Danio rerio: one gene and its partners. The protein of the gene in region 3 interacts with the protein of the main gene of each other region in a pairwise test. Links are inferred from orthologs where the notes say so. Each region holds a gene or a part of one and is shown on either strand. Other genes may lie near its edges.

Region 1 (3,500 bases), on a different chromosome or scaffold from region 3:
TTCAATAGTCTACAGAACAAACCATCGCCATACAATAACTTGCCTAATTACCCTAACCTGCCTAGTTACCATAATTAACCTAGTTAAGTGTTTAAATGCCACTTTAAGCTGTATAGAAGTGTCTTGAAAATATCTAGTAAAATATTATTTACTGTCATCATGGCAAAGATAAAATAAATCAGTTATTAGAGATGAGTTATTAAAACTATTATGTTTAGAAATGTGTTGAAAACATTTTCTCTCCATTAAACAGAAATTGGGGAAAAATAAACAGGTGGGCTAACAATTCAGGGGGGCTAATAATTCTGACATCAACTGTATATATATATTTATTTGTATAAAATAATTATATATATTTACTTTATATTTTTCCAGCTGTTGTGATTTTAATACACATGAAATAGGAAGATCAGACAGAAAGTGTGGATTTATGTAATGATTTATTTGTGGTTTACCGGCAGACATGGCCATGGTTGTTCCGGCCACCATGCCCATGGCCACCCCATTGGAACGTGGCGCGGGCACCGGAGCAGGGTAGATAGCGGAGGGGATGCTGTTGGGCTGCACCACGGTGGTGTGGTGGATGACGTGAGGCTGAGCTGCATACACCGGCTGTGTGAAATAAGCACCCTAAGGAGAAAAACGCACACACAAACATTACAGCACACACACACAGCTGACAATCAACAGATATATGACAAGTGCAGTGCTGTATGTTCCAACACAGTACATATTACTGCAGTGTTTGCTATGGTACTGAATCTGTGTTACTACCATTACGCTAAATGTTACACTATATAATTAAAATACATTTAAAATAATTGAATGAAAAACTTTGCTTAATGTTATTTTTTTATTTTATTTTATTATTTGCCGGTTGAATCTATCTAATATTTACATTTTATTGTATTTTTACATACAGCTTTTACTATTTAACCAATTTATTTAAGCATGTTTTAGTACTCAAGCTTGTGCAATTTTATTTATTTAATTTAATTAATTTGACTTGATTTTACTTCAGTTCCTAATTGCTAATAAGTAAAACAATTTAAGTAAATAAAAATAAATAAATAAAAGCCATAGAAATTAAATCTAACAACAAATGAATATTTTTTAATTACTAAAACTATTATTAAAATAAATGCTAAACTGTACATATAAAAGCTAACTTAAAATAATTATAAGTGCTACAAAGGTGTAAAGTAAAATTAAAATTGCACTATAGTAGCATCATAATACATTTTGATACTCAAACAACATTTCCAGTCTATTATTTGACATGAAGCATTTGAGCAAAACAGAATATTCTGAGCAAATAAATCAGCCGATTCTGCTGGTAACTCAGTCATTATTTGATATCATTATATAAATATTTTTTGAGGAATGCTAACCAAGTGTAAATGTGTCTGCCAAATGCATAAACACAACTGTTAGCAATATTTTAAGCCTCTGATGCATTCTGGGCTGTTTTGATCTGTTAAAGATACATAAAAAGGTTCTACAGAAATACATAGTTTAAGTAAAGAAAAACATGTTCATCAGATGCTTTAAAACCCTCAAAATACCCAAAGAGAGATTTTTAAATTATATAAATGTGTCATTTTGAACATAAGTATGTATTAAAAATACTTTTGTAAAATGATCTCAGGGTTAAAGGTGTTTTAATAAACATATATTGCCACATAATCATACTGTTTTGTAAGAAATAAACATAAATATGTACAATAGGTAGGCTTTATAAATCTGAACTGAGTAATTATGAATTCTAGTGAGGTTAATAATTAATTATAATGTCCTACAATGGTATATATTTAAATAATATCTCAAGAAACTAAAATTTTAAATGTGCATATACAGTGCTCAGCATAATTGAGTACACCCTATTTTGAAATTGAATATTTGTATTCATTTCTCAGAGAATATAGGCAATTTATTTTGGTGCATTTGAACAAAACAGATTTAAAATATAAAATTTATATATATAATATATAATTAAGTTTCAAATAATTCTCTTTTTATCATAAAAAGGCAATAAATAGACAAATACCAAGGTGAAAATGAAGTAACATTCAATACCGTTTTCCACATTCTCTCGATTGTGGCGATTATATATACATACATACATACATATATATATATATATATATATATATATATATATATATATATATATATATATATATATATATATATATACATACACACACACAAACACACACACACACACACACACACACACACACACACACACACACACACACACACACACACACACACACACACACACACACACACACACATCTATCTATCTATCTATCTATCTATCTATCTATCTATCTATCTATCTATCTATCTATCTATCTATCTATCTATCTATCTATCTATCTATATAAAATAATAAAAAGTGCATATAGATTCTGAATATACTGTGCTGAAAATTGTAAAAAATGACTGTTAGCTATGGGTTAAAATAGCTAAAGAAATCCATACTACAACAAAATGACCTTATATTCTTATTAGTGCAGTGTTAGATTCCTATATTCTTCTTTGAGACCTTTTATTCTTATTAGATTTGATGGAATTGTCTCTTATAATAATTTCACAGACGAAACAAAAATGTAAGTCTGATTTTAGTCTTACAATGGACACCAGTAATGATTTTTCTAAGGCACATAAGTAAATGATACTTTACTTATAGTCCCTAATTAAACTATAACCTAATCCTGGTTGGATGATCAAAACAAACTTTTATTTTTAATGCTATTAATCTTAGCCCAGCACTAAGACGTGTATATATATATATATATATATATATATATATATATATATATATATATATATATATATATATATATATATATATATATATATATATATATATATATATATATATGAATAAACAAACATTTTATACAACTTAGTGATGCATATATTTATATACACAAAATTTTACACAGTACGCACAAAATATATTTAATATTTTAATGGATGTGATTAGGGGCGTGGCTCAGTGGTTAGCACTGTCGCCTCTCTGCAAGAAGGTCACTGGTTTGAGTCTCGGCTGGGCCAGTTGGCAATACTGTATGGAGTTTGCATGTTCTCCCCATGTTGGTGTGGGTTTCCTTTGAGTGCTCCGGTTTCCCCAAAAGTCCAAACACGTGCGCTATAAGTGTGTGAGTGCATGTGTGAATGTATGGATATTTCTCAGTACTGGGTTTTGGCTAGAAGGGCATCCGCTGCGTAAAACATACTGTATGCTGGATAAGTTGGTGGTTCATTCCGCTGTGGCGGCCCCTAATTAATAAAGGGACTAAACCGAAGGAAAATGAATGAATGGATGCGATTAATCATGACTATTCTTTTGACAGCAACTAGTTTTAATGTAATCTGAGTCTAAGCCACAGGTGTCAAACCCAGTTCCAAAAGGGCCGCAGCTCTGCACAGTTTAGTTCCAACCCTAAATAAACACACCTGATCAAACTAACTGAGTCCTTCAGGCT
Region 2 (4,152 bases), on a different chromosome or scaffold from region 3:
TTATTTTCTCCAGCTGATTATTTCTTTTTTCTTTGATAAAATTAAAGCTTCTAAGTTCTGTTTGTTAAAACCAAAGCTGTCTTGCAGTGCTGTTTTGGTAATAAATGGAAAGCAAATTACATTTGTCTCCTTCCCTTTTTGGCTGATCTGAAAAATGGTCATATCGGTGACTAAACCATAATGTAGTCCGAACCGTGAAATTTGTGATCAATTACACCACTAGTTTTAACCATATTCCTATCATATCTAGTGGATTTAAAATACTTATTCTGGATTTTTTAGTGCTCCGTTTCAATTCAAAGGTGTTTATTTTAATTGAACTTCCAGAAATCTCAATTCAGTATCTCTTCCAAACCATTCATTTTTATTGAAAGGAAATTAGTACATAATATTAATTACAGAAAACACGTCATACATTGGTGATGCTAATCTGTAAGAGTATATCTGTTTTGATCTGTTCACCAATGTTGATTTGCTTGATGTAAAACCACCTTCTTTTCTTTTTCTTCCAGGTTCTGTGCCCACTGCATTCCTGGTCGACAACTGAATCTTTATAAGATTATTGGAAATGAACATTGATGTCTGATGTTCTCATTAATGTAAAAAATAAACTATTGACAACCCTCATGCTGTAGTGAATTATTGGCTCTTGTATGTGAATTAAATGCTGAAATCTTGTGCAGTAGTTTATGTATATTAAAGTTGGAAAATTACATCATTGGAAAATTTATTTTAATCCCAAACTCCTAATTCTGTCCAGATATCTGTTGTTCCAATACATTTTTGTGTGAAGTAATGGATTTTACTCCTTAGAGGTTTATTATTATTATTATTATTATTATTATTATTATTATTATACATTTATTGTTAAGGATCAGATATTTAATTTTTTAAAGCAGCATAAAAGGATGTTTATTGTATCTCTTCAAGTGAAAACAGACATGCCAACTTTTTCTGAGAATGAAATCTTGTACTGTACTGTTTCTGAGTATACTAGATGTTTCTAATGTATGTTCAGTGTCAATAAGAGCACATGTAAACAAATAACACATTATTATTAACATTTCCTTCGCAACATCCCGTTTTTTTACCATAATTTTTAGAAAAATACGGATGTACCATGTCACATCCATGTACTAGCAACATCTCTATTTTGTTGCACGTTTACCCTGACTTGAGGACTTTTATTTTGACGTTCATTTTCCCCGTGAAGTGCTGCACCGGTAGTGCTTCGAAAAAGAAAAGGGGTCATTCATAGAGCAACTTGTGCTATAATGTTAGCACTCGCACTGTTGACACATGCTCCGTTTAGCTAGTAATGTTGTTCAGTTTATTCAACTTCGTTGGTTCGACCGGGTTTGTGGAGCGGGTAAGTTATTAATGGTAATGGTTTAGCTTCGCGTCTTTGTGTCTTGTCTAACGTTACCCGCGTTATCCGGGCCTTTGTGCCTGGAAGTAGACTGCGTGTTTTAACATTACTTCATTAGCTGAGTGTGGATATACTGCAAACTTAACGAAATAATGTCACCAACAATGTTTGTTTACTTATCGGACAACACACTTGGTTGTTCATTCACATTGAGTATATGCCGCAATGTGCTGTTGAAGTATTTGGCGCCTCATAGATTTGACATGACAACACACTGCTAGTAAACAAACAGTCACAATGGTTGTTTATAAAGATATACACGTTTAATATATCAGGTACGACAAGAGGTTGGGGGAAAACATTAAAATAAAATGTAGTTATTAAAATTATTACATACTATATTGATATTATATGTACACACTGCTACAGCTAAGTATATTTGAATTTATTTGGCTATAATAACAAAGGATTGCCAGTCTTTCTCGGTTTACTGCAATCATTAGGTATGGATTCGAGTTGAATGCTAATATCTTATTTGTTCTATAAAAGGCTGTTGTTTCTCCCAATTTCTAAAAAAACAAACAAACAAATTTTTAGCTTATTGTGAGTCATTTCAAGTGTTTTTTTTTTTTTTGAGAATAGCCAACATTTTTTTAAGGTCAATAAAAACGGGGTTATTGATTTTTTTTTTTTTTTATTCAATTCAATTCATCTTTATTTCTAGAGCTTTTTTTTACAATGCAGATTGTGTCAAAGTAGCTTCACATAGAAGATTATAGTGAATTGAAACAGTGTCAGTTCACCAAAATTAAATAAAAAATACCAAATATTGATTTATTAACTCCTTTAAAGTTCAATATAGGGCGAGGCAGTGGCGCAGTAGGTAGTGCTGTCGCCTCACAGCAAGAAGATCGCTGGTTCGAACCTCGGCTCAGTTGGCGTTTCTGTGTGGAGTTTGCATGTTCTCCCTGCCTTCGGGTGGGTTTTCTCCGGGTGCTCCGGTTTCCCCCACAGTCCAAAGACATGCGGTACAGGTGAATTGGGTAGGCTAAATTGTCTGAAGTGTATGATTGTGTGTGTGTGTGTGTGTGTGAGAATGTGTGTGTGGATGTTTCCCAGAGATGGGTTGCGGTTGGAAGGCCATCCGCTGCATAAAAACTTGCTGGGCAAGTTGGCGGTTCATTCCGCTGTGGCGACCCCGGGTTACTAAAGGGACTAAGCCGACAAGAAAATGAATGAAGTTCAATTTACAAGTATCTTGCAAAATGCATTTGGAATAGGATTGTGGGAAATTATTAACATTTACAATAACAAGTGTTTAGTGTTTTGGTGCTGCGTTGTTATCCTTAAAAGTTGTTATCCTTAAGATCCTTATCCTTTAATATATTCTCAAATAATTCTTCTTCTGTTTATTTCTGACTAGGTTTTTTTATTATTAATTTGGAAGCTATTGATCCTTTTCACAAGACAGTTTAATGATCATCAGCATCTTAAATCTTTGAACTTTTTAATACAAAAAAAGTATGAACATTTATATATATTATATCTAGGCATGGGATGATAACCGTTTTCAAAGTATACCGCAGTTTGAAAAAGTTAAGGTTTCAAAAGTTTCTGCAATGCCGTTCCTAAGGTATGTGTAAGACTTTTTATTTACATTTTTTGTTTGATTTTAGGACAACAGTATCTCCAGCAGAAAAGATGCTGTTTTCATTTGTACAAAAACTGAAACAAAAGACGGAAGAAGTCAATAATTTTTGTAGCCTGACACATTTACTGTTCCAAAATATTATAAAGGTTTCTCAAAATAAATTATAGTGTGTTCAAAAGGAAAAAAAGTTTTATTTTTTTTTACCCAGGCATTTAAAAAGACAATATTTTACAACAGTAATCACTATACTGTGAAAACGTGATATGATTATCCAAGGTAATCATATGGTCAGAATCTTATACCGGCCCATGCCTAATTATATCAGGCTGGTGTCCTGCTGAGTATGGCTGTTTCTCAATGTGTGTTCTTCAGTGATCTTGTGTTCTCGTGTAAGTCATAATCAACTGCCAAAGTTCAGTTCTAATAGGGTATATGCCTATCTAGTGTTTTTCCCATATTGATGAACTTCCGGTGACCTGTTATTGTGAACTTTCTTCCATTTTATACGGCTCCTTTCACAGCATTAATGTTGTAATGTCATTGAAATACATTCAGTTAAATAAACTTTGGCATTCATTTAGTTGCTCAAGCGCAAAACGAGACAAAGTCGTTTATTCGCACGCGCCTGTCAGAATCGGCAGGCTAGCGCAGAAGCTCCATTGAATATACTGGGGTAAAATAAATGCTCATATTATAAAGACATGGCGGGGTAAAATGTCATTTAATGCAGTGCTTCTTGTACAATCTGAGACCCACTTTATGTCAGATATTACTTAGCTAGTGGAGATCGCTGATTTTAAAGATGACAGACCTTAAACGCGCCAGTTTTTGCATTGGCATACAATTCGCCTGAAACGCTTAACCCAGGTTACTGGCAAATTGAAAGTCCTATTAGCATGCTTCGCCATATACCCTATACTCAAGACTGTAAAACAGAGGACGCGAGAAAGTTCCCGGCTGTGTTTTTGACATCGAGGATGCGTCGATGCATACTTGAGTGCAAAACTCGCTCGAGAAGTCCAAGAAGTCATTGCGGTTGAATAAGGAGGTGGGAAGCGCAGCAGTTCATATAAATTTATTAATTAAGTACGGAGATATAACTTATTTATCTCAGGAGTGTTCCTAAATGAAA
Region 3 (3,500 bases):
TTTCCATAGTATGTTTTAAATTATCCTTTGAGTAAATGTCTATGAGTGAGTCCTGAGCGTCTGATATGGCATCTTGTGTAAACAACCTCATCATGTCTTTTCATGTCATTCAGATTTCTTCAGATTTCTAAAAGTTTTCATCATTGTGACCCTCAAGCATAAACTGAGCTTGACTAATATAATGGAAATCTCATTTGGCTGATAAAACACATCATGTTTAGGGGACATATACTCACCGGAATGGAACTACCAGTGCCAGGCCCGAAGCGAGCTCCAGCATCAAATCCACCATCCACCATGACAGTGGAGCCAGGAGGGTACACGGGCCCCATCGGATAATACGCCATCGGGACACTAGAAGCCATGGCCCCCATTGGCACAGTCTGGGCATGCATGGGCATGTACATCTGAGTACCAGGGTAAGCAGAGGTCATCTGGGGCATTTGTCCAGGGGCTGGAGGGGGAGCCATATATCTGGGCTGATAAACCTGCAGGTAGGAGAGAAAACTATTTCAAACATTTGTGTAGGTGATAACAAAAAGTGTATAATTCACACTTAATATCAAGACTTCAATTGTTTTAATTGAAGTTAATTAGACTAATGAAAGACAATGGCATTTTAAATCTTAGTTTTGATTGTTTAGAGCAGAGGTGCCTAAAGTAGGGCCAAAGTTGGCCAATGGTAACCTTTGGTTTAGCCCCATCATCCCATCTGAACAGTAATGACGGTGAGTTGGTTGGGGTGAATGCCTTAGTTTCTTTGTTTAATTGAGTAGCTACCAAAAAAAAAGCCAACTAAAATGAAATGTTTCATATAAATGTTGTAAATGAATCAGACTTTTACTGCCACTTGACAGATAAAAGACAATGCACAAGACATCGGCAAGCAAATCAAGACAAAGGCCGAAGTAGCTCCACTAGTGTATTCAGCATTGAACACCATTGTCTAATAACTGGGATTGTTTGTTTTAACTGTAATAAGTTTATTATAACATGTTAAATCTGATACTGCATGTTTAAAAATGTTTAAAAGCAATGTTTTATTTTTATTTTTAAATATTAGCAAATCAATTAGGAAGTTTTCCATGGCAAATGTAATGTAATACAGTTTGGTATTTTTAACTTCGACCCACAGCCCTCACACCCCATTTACACGGGGCGTCAGCTGCAACGCTTCCCATTCACTTTGAATTAAGTAACATCAGGTGTTGCCGAACTGCATTGTGGACTCTTCGCTCAACATTTCAAGTGCCGACGGAAGCCTTAGCCAATCAGATCGCTGTATGCAAATACACCAGTTTAGACAGTGGCCTATTGCTGACTAATTTCATTGGCTGACGCTGCTATGATGATCGCATCAGCCCCAACTTCAGACACACCCTCTGTCAAGCGTTGACGCTGAAGCCCTGTGTGAATGGGGCATCAGTCAAGGTTTTGGGCCTTTTATAAGAAAAGTGTGTTTAAGCACCTCTGGTTAAGAGTTTAGTGCCTGCCATGACTATTAATTTTTAGAAATATCTAAATTAAATAAATAAATAAAACAAACAAATAAAGATCTGGTGTCACTAGGCATGGGACATTAACCGTTTTCAACGTTTACCGCAGTTTGGTAGACACCGTCAATTTTTTGCTATACCGTTCCTAAGGTATTTGTATGATTTTTTTATTTATATATATATAAATATATATATATATATTTTTTTTAGAACAACCATATCTCCAGCAGAAAAGATGTCCAACGTTGCTATTTTAAATGGTTAAAAAAATCAGTGTTTTGAAACAATTGAAGACAGCAGAGGTCAAGGATTCATTTAAACTATTCAGTCTGACATGTTTACTGCTCCAAAATATTAAGTGTTTCTCAAAATACCATATATTGTGTTCAAAGGGGAACCCAAACATTTAAAAGAATATATTTTAAAGCAGTAATGTCAATACCGTATTACAGTAAAACCGTGATATTTTTATCCAAGGTTATCAAACCGCCAGAATCTTATACCGGCCCATGCCTAGGCGTCACTTGATTAAAAATCACCTGAAAAACAAAAATGCCTAAATAAGATGTCCCAATCCCTCAAAATATACCCATATTTACTCATTTACATTTAAAAGTAAATTCATACCTCTTGATATTATGCATCACTCATGTACTGAGAACTGTAATGTAATGTGTTTTTTATTTAACGCCATGTTAGCAGCCAAGTCTATTTTCATGGCAAGAACATTTCAATAATAAATTTACAATTAAAAATCAACAAACAAATGAATATATACATTAAATACATTTTTACTTGATAAAAATGTAACATTTTTCCTGGTGTCACTTTGCTAAAAACGTCCTTTAGAGATTTAAATACATAAAAAAGTCTTCGGGAATCAAGAGGAAAAATGTATTTGAATGTGAGAGGAATTGCAGTATAATATACTGCGGTACAAACATTGAGTAGGGTCTTCACCTTTAAGCAAAAAAGCATGGGTTATTCTTGTACAGTTAAAGTCAGAATTATTAGCCCCCCTGGATTATTAGCCCCCCTGTTTATTTCTTTCCCCAATTTCTGTTTAACGAAGAGAAGATTCTTTTTTAACACATTTCTAAACATAATAGTTTTAATATCTCATTTCTAATAACTGATTTATTTTATCTTTGCCATGATGACAGTTAACAATATTTGACTAGATATTTTTCAAGACACTTCTACACAGCTTAAAGTGACATTTAAAGGCTTAACTAGGTTAATTGGGTTAACTAGGCAGGTTAGGTTAATTAGGCAAGTTATTGTAAAACTATGGTTTATTCTGTAACTATCAACACAAAAATAAATAAATGGCTTATAGGGGCTAATAATATCGAAAATGGATTTTAACAAATTAAAAACTGCTTTGATTCTAGCCGAAATAAAACAATTAAGACTTTTTTCAGAGGAAAAAAATATTGAGACATGCTGTAAAAATTGCCTTGCTCCGTCAAACATCATTTAGAAAATATTTTTTGAAAAGATTAAAAATTAAAAGAGCTAATAATTCTGACTTCAACTGTATGTCCAATACGACATCTGGGAAAAATCACCAAATCTAGTCTTAAAACTCTGTTTGAGGTTTCAGGTTGTATTTTATACAATTGATTTGTTTATGCATCCCACACTTTACTGTGAACACAAACAATTTTACATTAAAAAATAGCATAAAAAAGATTTTTTAAATAATTATTCTGCACACACCTGTAAATATTAAGTAAATTGTAAGTTGCTTTAGACAAAGGCATCTGCCAAATGCCTAAATGTAATTAGTTAACAAATGAGATGATGCTGTGACATGCTACTGAACTGATAAACAGAAATTCAATTCTGCAGTTGTATAAAGTCTAAATTTATGATTAGTACAATGTATTCATCAATCATTGGTATTCATTACTATTTATTTTTAAATTTACAATTAAATGTTATTTTATCACTGCAGTTTTAAATTAAGGTTTTAGAAACAACTCATAATAAAATCGCTGT
Region 4 (4,290 bases), on a different chromosome or scaffold from region 3:
TCAAGAAGCATTTTCTAGACAAACTAAAAATATTGTCTTGTTTTCAGAAATAATGAGTCAAAGTTTACTCAGTTTTTCCTTAAAACAAGCTAATTAATCTGCAAACAGAGTAAGCAAGCTTTTCCTTTAGACATATTATTATTTTGCTTAACTTATTGGCAGATTATTTAGCTTGTTTTATTGAAAAAAAACTCACTTAATTTTGACATATTATTCCCTAAAACAAGACAATATTCAGTGCTTGTCTAGAAAATGCATCTTGATTTAAAAATTTTTAGATATTTGGACAAGACACGAGACTAAAATCTAAGTAAAAATGGGATTTTTAGCAGTGAAGAGGCACAAATAATTTTCGATTGTAGTAAAGACAAAAGAAATTAGTTATTAGAAATTAGTAAATAAAACATAAGATATATTTGAATTTAAAATATTTTACAAATGTAGTCTTTACTACATATTATATACCGCAGCTCTGCACAAGAAGTTTGGCCAGAGGAGAAATGATTGTGCCAACTGAGCCTGGTTTCTCTCAAGGAGAGACTTTCCTTCACTTTCGTCAATTGGTGAAGTTTGTTCCTAGTCACTGTCGCCACTGGCTTGCTTGGTTTGGGACTTGTGAAGCTGTGCATCGATTAGATTTGCTCCTCATTGTTTGGACTTTCAGCAGTACCATTTAAACTACACTAAATTGAACTTCAACTCTGAAACCTGGAATGACACAGTTTAAATTTATTATAACTTCAATGTTAAGCTGTTTTAACACCATCTACATTGTAAAAGTGCTATAGAAATAAAGATGAATTGAATTAAATATAAACTACTCTGACTATATATGATAATTAGAATTTTGTCTCAGAAATGTGCCATATATTTATATCATAAACCATGTCTGTGGCCAAATATGAGGCCACAAGCATGCATATCAAGCCATCTAGTGTTCAGGCGTTCTGGTGTGAACAGCAGCAACACAATGTGACCATCAGGCACCTGACAGCATCTTATTGACAAACCGCACCAGCACTGAATTATGGGTTAAAGTCTCCACTTCCCCTTCTCGCATCAGTGTCTGAAACATCCAGAAACGCTTGGCTTTCGAGATCAGACGCTTCCTGTGCCAGGGCAGTTCAACAGGCTGCTGTTATTCGACTTCCCCTTCTGAGCCGCAGCGCAAAAAAACACTGATATTATCACTGCTACACTTCTGCATTGTTTCTGGGAGTCAACTATTGTCCGCATCACTCAGAAATATGTCAGCTTCAGTATTCAAACTTTACGATTAAACTGCGGCTTTCTTGTCTGCAAGTCTACCATTTCCTGCACTGACCATCTTGTCCTGAAAACAAAGCCAGAAAGTGTGATAACATCACAATGACCGCGTCATTACGCAATTACGGCTTTGTTCGTGACATCAGAACACACTGAATGGTAATTATCCTTAAATCTGTGATGCTTGATAAAGTTTCCTAAACTGAAAAGTTCTTTCATGAAGCAGATCAAGGCTCATTCGCATCAGTTTGTATATCTGATGAGGGATTTTACGCTTCAACAGCAATGTGGTGCTATTTCTCTAAACCACTTCCTCAAAGAGCAAAACTTGTTATGGTTACTCATATCTAGTTCTTATTACTGTCATTCAAATTACTCAAAATGACAGAAATAGCTGTAACGTCAAGCCACTTACCATTAATAATATGGTAACACTTCACAATAAAGTGAGTTGCATTAGTTAACATGAACTAGCAATGAAAAATACTTGGATTTACATTCATTTTTGTTCATTACATGTACCGATTCGCTGCTAAAACATCTAAACTTGTGTTTAACTATTTGTTAACAAATGAGACCGTATTGCTAATCCTTACCAATAAAATAAATGTTTTTTTTTTTCATTAATATGACTAGTATGTTTCTATAACTCTACTGTAAAATGTATTTTTGAAGGTGTAAATAAAAAAAGCATATTAGTGTAGTAAATCCTACAAGATAATACTTTCTAAATCAAAATGTCACGCTTAATACAGAGCTACTTGCTATTTCTCTGTAGTTAATTGTAAAATGTGCAAAAAATCTGTTAAATAAAACATGTATATCATCGATAATTAAATGTATATCAACATTTTTCTACATAAATTATACTAAATATATATATATATATATATATATATATATATATATATATATATATATATATATATATATATATATATCAATCGTATTCTAGCTTTCTGGCTAATGCAAAGTTTATATATACATATAAGTTAATATATACAACAATACACATTACTAAATAGATAATAAACAATATTATACAGACGTTTGCTTCTTAAAAATTCTTCTAAAAATATACTAGACACTAGTAAAAAGATATGCACGTTTTAATTCAAGTCAATAAAATAATTTCAATAGCCAAGTAATTTCAGATGTATCGCCATCATCAATTCATTATAGCACAAATAATATCTTAAATAAATATGTTAGGACATTTAACCTTATACACGTGGGATTTGGCTTCATTTCAACTCTGACTTCGTTATTAAAGTCTACTCTGATTTTACTGTCTGTCTGGAAACCAGTTCACGGAGATTTACATCTTGTTTAAAGCTTTAAAATAGCCACGAGCTGAGCTCGTTCAATATTAATGTTAGTATTAGACTTTATAAAGTTATCCCGCATTGACGGTAACAGTTTAATATCAGCGAACATCACTTCTTACCCATTTTTGAAGCTCGTCGCCCGCAGATGGTGATTTGAGCAGCGTTTATTGTCGTGGTTGAGCAGTAATTGACGGTTCAGTTTCAGCACGCGCTTCTCACTTCCACGGGCGCGCGCTTTGCCTCTCAGCGTGCACGAGCACATCACCAAGAACCATGGGACTCGGAGTTTTGTGAGAACTTTACCCTAAACTGAATATTCTGTCATCATTTACTTTTACCAAACCTGTTTGAGATTCAGTTGATCACAGAAGAATATATTTTAAATACAGCTGAAAACATTGCTTACTTCATAGTGTTTGTTTTCCCTGTAGTATTCAATGTTCATACGATCTTGGCAAACCTGGAAAAGTCATGAATTTTGACAAGGCATTTTCCAGGCCTGGAAAAGCTTTGGAAAAACAAATAAACCTAAAATATTTTGGAAAAGTCCTTGAAATAAATTTGTTAAACAAAAATCCATCTCCTTAAATATGTTTAAAGGGTTAATATGCTTGAAGGGTTATGTTCTCTGTTTGGGGTGGAAAAAAAGCACCTCGCAGTTCAGCTTCGGCTCTCTTTCACTCGCATTCGTCGTAATTCAAGCTACATTTTTGAGATTGGTGTCTAGAAACCATCTCTAACTGCAGGGCTAACTCTAACTGCGGATGCTAAACCCAGTGTAAATTTGTCTTTCTTTCATTAATTGTGTTTGTGTGTTTATTCTATGGTTTAAGTGCATTTTTGTATTATTATTTTATTGATTTGATAATTATTTGTGCTCTGTTGTATAAATAGCCTAGATGAATGTTGTTATTCGAATTCCTTATTGTAATTGTTTTATAATGCATAAAAAGCTAATTTGTACTATTCTTAAGTCTTACGACAACACACGCCAACATTTCTAAAATGTTGTCACACAGATACTTTTCTAAAACTTATTTAGAGATAATAAACAAGGCTATACACAGATTGTCATATTTTTTGATATGCTGTAATAAATTCGATTTTTACATGTAGTGTATGTGGACATTAAATGAAACATTAGATTATGAATATTCACCTGAAAGTTTTGGAAAAGTCATGAAAAAGTCATGTAATTTTAGTAGTAAAATGTGTATGAACCCTGAGTATAGCATATGGTTAGAGGTTTACACTAATGCTTTAAAATAGATTTGTTAGTATTTAACAGAATAAAGCAACTTAAAAATGTTTGGAACCTTTTGAGAGAGTAAATGTTTACTTTCGAGTGAACTAAGAAGTACCCTTTTCCCTTTTAACCTCTATTATACGTTCAGAATAGCATTATTTATGGGTGAATTGTTATTTCATAAGCCCAGAAATTTAGCATGACTATGACTAAAACTATTAGTAAATAAAAAGGCAAATAAGAAAAATATTTTGAATGCTTCTTTGTTTTTTGGCCTTGATATTACAACATTAGAAATGTTTTGGAATTTTAAATTAAACATAAACCACAATATCTATGACCAATGTTAGCCACTAAAGCCAGTCAGCTTCAAGTTCAACAAACCAACAAAATGTCTGCAAACAAATACATATAGACATTTGTGACCGTGTTAAAATGCAATAATTGATG
Region 5 (4,143 bases), on a different chromosome or scaffold from region 3:
TCTCTAATCATAAAGCAGCCAGGCAGTTAAATGAGGTAAAGATTTAGTTTTAAAAGCGAAATAGTTTTTATCACTTTTAGTTGTGAATTCGTTTTAAGAAAACAAATAATTTAAAAGGTTTTACAAGACGCTTTACATGTTATTATTATTTTGCATTAAGACAAAATGTAGAAAAAGAGATTGAGTAGTAGAAGAAAAATAAACAGTACAAAAACAAATTAAAGTACAAAAAGTGCATTTTAAAACTTTTGGGCCCCATAGTCAGAATTGCTTAGGGCCCCCAAAACACCAAATCCGCCCCTGTTAGAACCTACAATTTGTATTCACAATAAATCAGAGCCGACCCTTACTATTAGCGAATTAAGCGGCTGGTTAGAGCCCCGCTGCCACTAAGGGGCCCCCACTGATGGTACGAGCCATTTCTTTGCTGAAATCATTTTTATTTGCATTGTACAGATTATCTTGATTGACTGCTTTAGTACTTAAATGTTTATAAATTTTCACTGGAAAGAAAAAAAGTCATAATTTTATTAAAGCAGAAATAGTTTTTGTGTGAATGTCATGTGATTTCTGAGTTTTTAATGAGTTCAGAATGTATATTTTATTACTAAGTAATGCATTTTCACTTTTGGATTAGTATTGTTGACTGTCGACTCATAGCAGAGTTTTTGCTTTTGGAATTTATATATAAAAAAAACAAAAAAAAACAAACACAACCTTTTTGAAGCTGCTAGTTGAACAGTGCTGTTTTAAAATGTCCAAATCATTCGAACAGTTATTAAGTAGTAGAAATGAGACTTTACTTTTCTGTGTCATTGATTGTACTTATTAAGCAATAAAATCATTGTGGGCTGGTTTGCAATGGCAATACTCCACTATTTAGAGCAAGGTAGGGCCCCAAAATTATTCTGCTTATTGCCCCCAAATGTACAGGGCCGGCCCTGCATTCAATTAAAATTCACTCACTGTAACAATATAAAAGAGATTAGCACAACTAATCTTTAATGTTTACTGCAGTACATTATTTGTCCTTGGCGTTGAGTCAGACTTAGTTCTAGTATTAGTACCCAAATGTACATAAAAAGTACCTTTGAGGTAGCATTATGGACCCTTCAGGTAAAAATAAGTACCTTTTGAAAAGGTACTGCCACAGAGAAAGCTCCTGTACCTTTATTTCTGAGAAAGTATAAGCAGATTTTAGAAAATCACTGACAGCAATGTCAGGCCCGTAGCCAGGCTCGGGTTTGCAAGACCCACCCCTCTCTAATAAAGGTCCAGAATTTGTCCTATACATGAGCTCATTTGTCCTGTCTTAACTGCTATGCCATCATAAATAGTAAAAATAACCAATCGAAAAAGGCTTTAAGACCATGCGAAATTCTTGTGTGACTTCAGTTTTGGCCAATGCAAACAATTATTTTTCATGAGTCCAACATCCAGCTGTGCAAAAAACATCTGACACAAGCAAAGTCATCTTTCACTACTGTATTGTTTTTAAATGGAGAAAACATTTGACAAGTAACTTTTATTCTTTGACCTTATTATAGAAAGAAAACAGGACCAATTAAAAAAAGTAAAGCACTTTTACAAGAGAGGCTAGATAAATTGTGAGTCACTAAATTATTATTATTATTATTATGTTTTAATTTCTATTCAAATGGACAAATTTAAATTTAAAACAGTTTTTTTTCTAATGACATATGATGTAATAAATTTGTATTTTTTTATATTATTTTAATAGTCCTTTCTACTGCTTCTTTTTTTCAAATGTATAAAGTCGTTTCTCTTGGCTTATTTTATGTTTTTATAATCTGTCTTTTTATTTTACTTTGTCTAATGTACAGCACTCTGGTCAGTCTTGTGGCTGTTTTTAAATGTGCTTTATAAATAATTGAACTTGAACTAGTATTTCAAAAATAAACATGTCATATTTCTTTTTTCTAATTATATAGGAAATGTTTTGGTACAACAAAAAGTGTGGTTATGATGATTATCCGACAAACTAATCCAGCTAAAAATAGGTGTTTAAAATGTGTTGAGGTTGGTTTTACATTCACACATTCAGAATTTCTCCTCACAAATATCATTTCAGAAAAATATTATTTGCAAATTCTAAATAGTGGAATCATATTAGCAGCCAATGACTATCACAACATACATAGAATCAGCGTCAAATAACGTTAAATGTGGCTTTTATTGTTTAGCAGTCATACGAACACGTGTTTTCAGATTGAATATTCAAAGTACCATGGTAAACAATATAGGGAGCATGTCACAAACTGTCACTGATCAACAGTGCGAATGTAAAACCAACTTTACCTCGATTTAAAATGTCACCTAATCTTATAATTAAATAAAAAACGAGGCGAATAACTGCAAAAGGTCCACTTTTTGAGAAAAAAGAACCACCCTTTCTCCAGGCTGTCCACGGGCCTGAATGTCTATGAGATAAAATCATTAGGATGATTTTGAGGAAGCCCAGCAACTGATTCGTCGATAAAGACTCGGTTCAAACGAACGATTCGTTCAAGATTCGAATATGAACACACACACACATACACAATATGATGTAAAAAACACAGGGCCTAACCTACACACAGAACATAACTGCACAATAAACTCTATTTCTAACAGAAGAAACATAAAACCGAAGTAAGAACTGCTTAATGCAAAGCTCTTGTGAAATACGAATCTTACCTTTGGCGTAACAATCCGCGCAAAACTTGTTTTCCTCTAACGTGAGAAGGGATGTGAGAACCGCCTGATAGCGGTCAATGTCTTTGACTGATCTGCCTGTCATCTTCAGAAATCGCTAATCTAACTGCTTGGTAATAAATAGTCCAAAGCCGTGGAGGAGATGATGAGATGTTTGTCCGTTATTGAGATACACCGGGAAGCGAATCGCTGTCTGTCACAACCGGCTGCTGCGGATGGAGAGAGAAAACGCTACAAGACTGCTGGCTTCCGCTAATCTTACCAGGAAGAGGAAAAAAGCATTGAACCACTGTTCACATGAAAACACCATATTCCCCGGTGCACATTCGCTGGTTCTTGACAGCCAACTTTCCTCCCGCAGAATCAGAGACACACATCGAGCTCAATCTCTACACTTGAGTGTTTACTCTTATCAGCTGCGCTTGCTCACTGCACGGCCTCTGTCGTGTACAGACATGTGCTGGTTAAAACATTGAGCATTTAAAAGATCACACAACTAAATCTAGCATCAGATGGACAATTGCGGTCGTGATGTTCGAGGTCCAGTGATGTGAATTACTGCCTCTTTGTGTATTTTCCAGAATGTGGGAAATTGCGCCCTCGTGCGGGGAGAAACGACACTGCGCACATCCGCTCGTGTTTCTTGTTGATGTACAGGGATGTCTCAAGGACAGCATCATATATTTTGTTGTTGTTTATTTCACTAAAAGTGCAATGCTTGAAACGCCTTGAACAATCTTTAAATAGTCTATATGCACACAGACTTTTAATTTTCAGCCATGCAGCCCAAGGGCCTCCGGTACACTGTCTACAAAATTGCCATGTTTTGATTTCTTTACAAATCAACAATATTCACTGCCTGTTAGATATCCGATATGAAATGGGTCTCAGATCAGACAAGAAACACTGCATTAAATTCCATTTCACCCCACCATGTCCTAAACATATGACAGCTTATTTTACCACAGAATTTTCAATGGAATTGCTGTGCTAGCCCTGTTGCTACTGACGGCACTAGCGGCTACACGGTCTTTCATCTCGTTTTAATCTTGAACAACTAAATGAATGCTTAAGTCTATTTAACAGAATGTATTGTAATTACAACATCGATACTGTAAAACAACCTTGTGAAATTATAAATAGTCAAATTTACCTGAAGTTTCGGCTATCATTGGTTTTAACACTCTAGCTGTGCATACAGAGCCCTAGCTGTAACCACTAAAACCAAACTGATACAGACAACATTCATTCATTCACTTTCTTTTCAGCTCAGTCCCCATTTTTACCACAGTGGAATGAACTGCCAACTTTCCAGCATATGTTTTACAGCAGATATCCAAACTCCACACAGAAATGCCAACTGACCCAGCCAAGACTCGAACCAACAACTTTCTTGCTGTGAGGCGACAGCACAACCCACTGCACCAC
Region 6 (3,500 bases), on a different chromosome or scaffold from region 3:
AATATGTTCCCTGTCAAAAAGGTACACATAACAGCCTAATTTCATATGCTGCCAACACCCCTTATATTAAAGGGTTAGTTCACCCAAAAATGAAATTCTGCTGTTAGTTACTCTTCAAGTTGTTTCAAACCCCAGAGACCTTCGTTCATCTTCAGAACACAAATGAAGATATATTTGATGAAATCTGAGAGCTCGCTTATCCTCCAAAGACAGAAAGTCGAGCAAAGACCAATAGCACCAGGGTTTGGTATCAAAACCCAGTGCCATTATGGCACCAGTACCTATGTAACCGGTGTGCACAGGACCGAATCAGCATATGAATTTTGGTGCATAATTTCAGTGCCACTGGTGCTGCAACAAAGACGTGAGAAGCATCAAGGGGTACATCAACCGCACACATAGGTACACATTGTGTCATACCAAAGACAATAGAATGCTTACAGGGACTTTGGTCACACCATCTCTAAACATTTAGGTGTGAACTGTTATATCGGATTTCATGTGACTTTTACATAATCTTTGAGCAACATGCATCATCATTCTGTGCTACAAACATCCTCCACTCCTCAGCATCATAGTAGAATGGCACACAAGGCGATTACAGTATTACAGAAAGTTGGTTGTTCATGTTGAAAAAGATTTTAAAGGCAAAACTGGTGCTTGTTAAAGGGCCATGAAACCCCCTTGTTTCAGCAGGGTGTTCTTGGAAAAAGTCAGAAAAGTGGGCGTGTCCAGCTCTGTTTAGGGAGGAGTGTCGGAGGAACTAAAGTGGGAGGGTGTGGGAGTGTCTATTTGGGCACGCGCGAGTTTCAGAGTCAAAATAAACACACAGGAGAAAGTGATGGTGTTTAACCTACATGGACATCTGTAGTCGAATTATTTGCCAAATTATTAAATGTTGGACTTTAACAGCAGATTGGCTCTTTCATTCAGGGAATTCATTCATGCCCCTTGCGACAAACGAGATATTTGATTCGAGGATCTGCTCTAAGCATGTATTTTTCATGTAATGTTTGATACCGCACGGCGAATGAGAGAAAAAAAACTCTGCATTTCCCGGAAACTTAGATGCACACGGCAGGTAGCGTCAGAAAGTGTGTTATTCCGGTCACTAAATGCGGTAAAAACCCTACACGAGGTTAAAGTTTGGTTGTGGTGCTAACATGTTTACACTCGGTGCTATAGTTAACTTAGTTCGATACGAACAAACTGAATAAACAAAGAGCACTGGTCGCTCTTGGTTTGAACCAAGCTTTACTCATGCATTAATGCAGCAGGCTGTAAGACGTAATAAGACACACTCTGGCACAAACGTCCAGTCTGCATGCTGGAATACAACGCTATTATGTCATGACCGTGACGCAGCTTCAAAAATTTGTTTCAAACCGGAAGTACGAATTTACTTGAAATAACGCTAAAACAACCAATTTACACTTTTTAGTGAAATATAGGTGTCTTAAAAGTGTTTTTAGTAGTGTGGGACACATATACGAAATGTGTTTTTGGTGTTTCGTGACCCTTTAACTAATCTGGTTAATGATTGAGGCACGGGTTGATCGCAAAGCCAAAGAGCGTTGTGGGAGTTGCGAGTGGGGATCCGTGTGCAAAGGAGGGGGAACTTTCTCTCTGAGAGAAAAAAGGGCAGGTGCTTAAGCACCCAACACCCCTGCACGTGTCTGTTTTTTATAACGAAGTAAAATTTAAAAACTCTGCAAACGGAGATCAACCAACTCCTTCTACACAGTTCAGTCTGCGGCTGCTCATAAACTCTTGATGAGTTTACTACACCAGTGGTCAGAAAGACTCACACCTTGGTTGTCATAAATCATAAATTATCAGTGTTTTCAATCACAAGAGACTTATTTTAGGTCTCAAATTCTGAAATACACATTAGTAGTAGCAGAACAACCCTTTACAGTTCATGAAATACATTTCGGTTGTCTGTGAAAGGGAAAATAATCATATAGGCATGATCCGACAACGTGCTTACTCATGCAGTATACACATTGTGGGCATAGACAAGTCAGTTTAGGACCATGCTGTTTGCACTGCAAATCTAATATTGGCCACATTGATAAGAGCAATGTGAACAGCCATGCAAAAAAAATCTGATCTGGAAAAAAAAAATCAGATTTGAGCACTAAGCCTCGCAGTGTGAACTTAGCCTTAGTTCTGAACAACCTTTTAACAGCACTTTTCATTTTTGAGGGAACTCTAATAATGCAACCCCAAAAATAACAAAACAAATCAATAACAGGACAGGATGTCACATGATGCAACCAAAACATTGTAGCAATGATGATGATGAAGATGAAAAGTCTTTTTTTGTCACATACACTTTTACATGCAGTGAAATAAGACCCCCCTGACCAATGATGCCAATCATACATTTTACGCGTAACTTAGCATTCACACACACACAAAACACTTTATGCCTTCAATTAAGATTATTTCTCCTACCCAGCTTGAGAATTTTCTTGTCGGACAACAGAGCCCTAATGAAGTCCACGGTGGTGCTGTGGTGGCTGATGGCGTGAGCACAAAGGTCCAGCAGAAACACCTGATCCTGTACAGCCAGCTGGATCAGAGCCACGCGCTGAGACGACACTGTGCCAAAACCGGCCCTCCACTCCATGTCCATTCCAACCACACAGCCCGACTGAGAAATAATGACATATTGAGACAAATAGTGGAAACCAGAATGCATCTGTATCTGCTAACATAAAGTCGCATTCAATCTCGTTTGTTTGATCACATGGTTGCACTGCATTTACATATCGAAGACATAGGGATTAAAAACAACATCGGAGAGTATCGAAAATGTTCAATTGACTTTTTGAACAAAAAAACGTATCAATGTGCAATATAGCGGTCTTGGGTGATTTGGGTAGATTTGTATTGTCCAAAGATGTGTGTTGTAATGATTTAGATTTTGACATCAATCTGATTGGTATTTTAACCAGTTATTTTCAGCTTCTCAACATCAACTGCCCAATGGGTTTTGCTTATACCCCCATGATCACTGCTTTGTAGCATATCACGTCACAATTTCAACTACAGAAAAACAAAAATCATTACCAGTGTTGGGAAAATTTATGTTTAAATGTAATATATTACAATCTTGAGTCAGTTTTTTCAAATAACTTTTTAAGAAAAGTAATATGAAAGTACGTGTTCTGTTGTTTTTGCATACTTTCTTTAAAGATTAAAATAGAAACATGATTTTAATACATGAAAAGTAACTTTACCCAACACTGATCATAACATAGCTTATTAAATAAATAATATTAAAGGTACAGTAGTAGTAGTGTTACCTTTAAAACAGCTTCTCTGCACTTGTCAACCTCCTCTAGTGTCTCTACAAAGTGGACGTTCTCTCTGGGCAGAGGCAGCTGGTAGTATTTCTCCTGATCAGACTGTAGAGGCGCCCAGGACTCTGGTGGACCGCTAACAGAACCCAACTCTCTATGATAGAAATACACTTGTCAGAGTGTGTGTGT
Region 7 (4,181 bases), on a different chromosome or scaffold from region 3:
GTAAGAAAATATTATTTGGTAAAATAACCCGGAATCTCAGTCACAAAAATGATTTGTTATTCTTGCCAACTGTTGATGTTCAACCGCAAAAACAACAACAAAATTTCTGGTAAATGTGAGGATAACAATAATGGGTGTGTATGGATGTTTCCCAGAGATGGGTTGCAGCTACAAGGGCATCCGCTGCGTAAAACATGTGCTGGATAAGTTGGTGGTTCATTCCGCTGTGGCGACCCCAGATTAATAAAGCGTCTAAGCTAAAAAGAAAATAAATGAATCATAACAATAATTCTAGTTTTTTTCTACCTTAAAGATAGATAGATAATCTTTTTCTACGTTTCCCAGTTCTGGGTTGCAGGAATGAATCTTTTTATATTAAGTGTAAATCAGTATTTATGAAAGCAACCTCAGTATAAGGTGTCCCATGGACTTACGCTGAAGTACCAAAGTCATTTCCAGAGAATAGAAAAGGGCAGAGACTCAAGGGTGTTACCATTTCAACCCAGTAAACCCTAGCGACCACATAAAACACCCCAGCAAACACTTATGACTTACGATAAATACAACATTGCAACTGTGGATTATCCGTAGGTCGGCACAAGGACATGTGTAAAGCTAAAACTGATGAAAATCTCTGTCTGTTATATAACACAATCCCCAGTCCCAGCATCCCTCATGATGTCCTCGCTCCGCGCAGATGAATAATGCACAACCATATACCAACTGTCCTCTCCAAGCATCTTACACCTGTTTATTGCGCACCACTTACTTACAGTGTCATCATCTGTAAGCTATGTGCCTCTTCATAGTTGCATTGTTTACAGCATCTCCATCAGCGTCAGAATGATCCACAATGACAACACACAAATATTTAAACACGTGTGTGTGTGTATGTGTGTGTGTGTACAGATTTACAAGGACCCTTAACTGAATAATGACATGGCTATGACCTATTCATACTCTATAACGATGGTTTACGAAGACATGACTTTTTTCAGCATAATTCAAAACATTTAAAATTTGTACTTATGGTTTTTTGAGATTCAGATTTTTCTGTGAGAGCCAAATAATAAGCAGTATAAAATACATGACGCCTATGGAGAGTCCTCATAGAGCGTATATACAAGTATGTATGTGTGTGTATTTGCATCTGTACACTGTTTAAGGCAGAGAGTCGGAGTAAAACAAAGAGACGGATGGAGGCTGAGAGAAAGAGAGCTTGCGGATGGAGGAGGGAGGATGAGTCGAGGGCTCTGATTGGTTGATTTCTTTGTTTTTTTTCTCCTAGTGAAAACGTGATCCAGCCTGCAGAGGCACTGCAGCAGAGAGAGAAAGAGAGAGAGAGAGAGAGATGTAAGAGTGGAAATACTCACAGAAGCTTGTACTGGTGAGTCAGAGAGAGTGTGTGTGCGTGTGTGTGAGTGTTTGCTTTCAGACAGAGAGAAAGAGAGGAAGAAATGGAAAGATAAATGGCCTCACTGGAAGATTTAGCAGAGAAATAGCAGAGCATACGAGTGAGAGGAAAAGGTGGAGAGCGGACGAATCCTCTTTCTGGCTGAGTGAATGAATGAGTGAGTGAGTGAGTGAGTGAGTGAGTGAGTGGAAGAGCAGGAGCATCGGTGGTCCTGAAGAAGAGCAGAAGAAGGAGAGAACGGTGCTTTGTGACGCATCTGACATCTCGTCCTCCATCTTTTCCATCCTCCACCCGCCCATCCATCCATCTGTCCTTCTTGGAAGTGTTTCTCCTCCGTGCTTTGGGATGCAACAGGAGCATCTGGTGGCCGAGAGAGGCTGAGATACAGCAGCAGATTTACAGGAACTTTGTGTCCCCATGTGAGAACCACGCCAAGATCTTATGAATCGACCTCATCAGTCATCTCAAATCCAGAGACCTGCCACGAAATATTCACTAGAGACAACTAAACACAGGTGAGGGTGCTTCTGAAGGAGTGTTATTGTAGCATGTTGACAGGAGGTAAATGTGCAATGTTATTTGAATGTTGTACGCTGTGAAGGTGCAGATTTTGTCTTAAGTTATTTTTATGGAATCTGCTTCTAAAGATTTTAACAACATAAAAAAAGATGTTGGTGTCTATTGAGGTTATATAATGAAATAACGTTTTGTGTGATTTGATTTGACAAATTCTTTAAGAAGTACAGATGTACATACAACATATTACATAATATGTACACTAGGTCAAAATATAGGTTTAATTAAGTTTTACATCAATCAAATATATGTGGTGAATTCAACTGATCAACTGAAAGGATGTTATAGATTGGAGTGTATTTTATATTTTTATTGTAAAAATTTAAATTGTACTATTGTAAAACTGTTCCTTATATCAAAATTACATATTGTATTTATATATATATATATAGTTTTAAATAATTTTATGTATATGGAACTGATTTAAAAATATAACTAATATGTAATAGATAATAAATGATATATTATTTCTTTTATTTATAAAATTCTAATAATGTTAAATTGTTATTATACAAAAATTAGGTATAATATTTAATTTACATGTTTTAATTAAATTAAATATTGACAATAATTTAATTAAATACAAATAATCAAAAGTATTCTATTGCATTTTTAATAATAATAATAAGAATAAGAATAATAATATTTAATATTATAAATAAATTATAAATGTAATTATTTATTGTAAATAAAATCGTTTACCTTATTATTTTGATAAAATATTAATAATATCTTATATATTTATTAGAATATATATATATATATATATATATATATATAATGTATAAAAATGTTATGTATAATAATGTATTGTAATATTAAATATTACAATATTACAAATATATTAAATAATAATAATTATTATAAATAATGTAATATTTTAACGATCATCAGTAGTTTTCTTTTGTATATATATCTATGTGATTTTGTAGTTTTTGAGTATTTTCCATCTCAAATTCGTCATATTTTCATTTTTCTGCATTTCCACATCCTCACTCAGGACATGTGCACTTCAGTACTTGTGTATATGTGTGCATGTTAACCATTTCTGCAAAAGGGCAAGATGCAATTCATAATCGCGTGTTCAACACAAACACAGATTCCATCAATGACTCAAATGAGTGGGAATCTGATCTCATGAGACTACTATACACTGACACATACTAACCGTCATGTGTGGTTAAGCCAGAAACAGACCTGTGCTTGAGCATGTGTGTGTGTATGTTGCATGCACATGCGCTGCAGTCAGTGTGCTGCGTTTGCTGCTCTGGTTGCATAACCGCCCCTCCCACGACACTGCACTAAAAACTGCTAACACAGATGATGCACACACTCCCAGAATACTGATAAGTGTTGAGAAAATCACCGCCAAACACCCAGAAGCCCCTGTTTGCTTCCTGGACTGTAGATTCAGCCCCTACTGTCTCAATGGGGATTCAGCAATCAATACTGTCTGTCAATAATTTAAAGGAGGACAGCAGATAAATGTGTGTGTGTGCACCTGAGCTCATCCCAACATCAGCTGGAAATAATGAGTTTGTGTTGGTGAATGTTATTGCTACTTGTTAAAAGTGTCACCAATTAGTGATGACGGTGTTGTTGTTTATCCTGGTTGGGGAAAAGTCCTCCAAAATGATCTATAATCATGTACTAAGATTCATGTTTAATATGAGGATTGAATCAAAATTTTGGTTCAAATTTGATTGGCATGGTTGTTGTATTACTGATTAGAATGTTTTCGTTATTGTTGTTTTTGTTGTTGTTTTATTAGACAGTTTCCAACTAGTATTCTGATTTTAATCCAGTGGGATACTTTTGGCTACGTATTATATCAATAATAATGTATTATTATTATTAATATTATTTTGGGAATAAGTAAATTCTAAAACAGTTTACATTGTCATTCCTTTACCATGTGGGATTCTGAGTTGGTAACATTTAATTAATTTTCAGTGTTTTCAATAGGATATTTGTTTAGTTTTATATTGGGGAAAAATAAGATTAGGATTAAATTAATATATTTCTAAATATTGTATATTTATATAAACTCAAATATTTATTATTTTTTATAAATAAATATTTATATTTATAATATTTATACATACTATAAATATTCCATAAATATTCAAATAATTTATTCTCTCTCTCTCTTTCTTTTTATAGTTAATATATAATTATACAGTTGATATAT

Evidence for each region.
Region 1: the proteins of dazap2 (region 3) and fam168a interact in binary tests that used the Homo sapiens proteins (3 or more experiments, as listed by UniProt). The two-hybrid records come from large-scale screens. The link is inferred for Danio rerio from reciprocal best matches to the Homo sapiens genes DAZAP2 and FAM168A.
Region 2: the proteins of dazap2 (region 3) and zc3h10 interact in binary tests that used the Homo sapiens proteins (3 or more experiments, as listed by UniProt). The two-hybrid records come from large-scale screens. The link is inferred for Danio rerio from reciprocal best matches to the Homo sapiens genes DAZAP2 and ZC3H10.
Region 4: the proteins of dazap2 (region 3) and arid5a interact in binary tests that used the Homo sapiens proteins (3 or more experiments, as listed by UniProt). The two-hybrid records come from large-scale screens. The link is inferred for Danio rerio from reciprocal best matches to the Homo sapiens genes DAZAP2 and ARID5A.
Region 5: the proteins of dazap2 (region 3) and smap2 interact in binary tests that used the Homo sapiens proteins (3 or more experiments, as listed by UniProt). The two-hybrid records come from large-scale screens. The link is inferred for Danio rerio from reciprocal best matches to the Homo sapiens genes DAZAP2 and SMAP2.
Region 6: the proteins of dazap2 (region 3) and exd3 interact in binary tests that used the Homo sapiens proteins (3 or more experiments, as listed by UniProt). The two-hybrid records come from large-scale screens. The link is inferred for Danio rerio from reciprocal best matches to the Homo sapiens genes DAZAP2 and EXD3.
Region 7: the proteins of dazap2 (region 3) and si:dkey-106l3.6 interact in binary tests that used the Homo sapiens proteins (3 or more experiments, as listed by UniProt). The two-hybrid records come from large-scale screens. The link is inferred for Danio rerio from reciprocal best matches to the Homo sapiens genes DAZAP2 and RNF208.

Annotation. Positions count from the first base shown.
Region 1 is NC_133193.1:4,904,518-4,908,017, forward strand, and holds part of fam168a (protein FAM168A), read right to left. Parts: intron 631-3,500; coding exon 456-630; intron 1-455.
Region 2 is NC_133181.1:54,969,636-54,973,787, forward strand, and holds the start of zc3h10 (zinc finger CCCH domain-containing protein 10), read left to right. Parts: upstream 1-1,352; 5' UTR 1,353-1,369; intron 1,370-2,570; exon of another isoform or gene 2,571-4,152. UniProt on the Homo sapiens protein: Specific regulator of miRNA biogenesis. Binds, via the C3H1-type zinc finger domains, to the binding motif 5'-GCAGCGC-3' on microRNA pri-MIR143 and negatively regulates the processing to mature microRNA.
Region 3 is NC_133198.1:36,680,357-36,683,856, reverse strand, and holds part of dazap2 (DAZ-associated protein 2), read right to left. Parts: intron 489-3,500; coding exon 237-488; intron 1-236. UniProt on the Homo sapiens protein: In unstressed cells, promotes SIAH1-mediated polyubiquitination and degradation of the serine/threonine-protein kinase HIPK2, probably by acting as a loading factor that potentiates complex formation between HIPK2 and ubiquitin ligase SIAH1.
Region 4 is NC_133183.1:62,209,681-62,213,970, reverse strand, and holds the start of arid5a (AT-rich interactive domain-containing protein 5A), read right to left. Parts: upstream 2,801-4,290; 5' UTR 2,718-2,800; coding exon 2,714-2,717; intron 1-2,713. UniProt on the Homo sapiens protein: DNA-binding protein that may regulate transcription and act as a repressor by binding to AT-rich stretches in the promoter region of target genes.
Region 5 is NC_133194.1:41,012,919-41,017,061, forward strand, and holds the start of smap2 (stromal membrane-associated protein 2), read right to left. Parts: upstream 2,801-4,143; coding exon 2,698-2,800; intron 1-2,697.
Region 6 is NC_133185.1:11,585,442-11,588,941, forward strand, and holds part of exd3 (exonuclease mut-7 homolog), read right to left. Parts: intron 3,466-3,500; coding exon 3,315-3,465; intron 2,660-3,314; coding exon 2,461-2,659; intron 1-2,460. UniProt on the Homo sapiens protein: Possesses 3'-5' exoribonuclease activity. Required for 3'-end trimming of AGO1-bound miRNAs.
Region 7 is NC_133185.1:21,972,072-21,976,252, reverse strand, and holds the start of si:dkey-106l3.6 (RING finger protein 208), read left to right. Parts: upstream 1-1,381; 5' UTR 1,382-1,929; intron 1,930-4,181.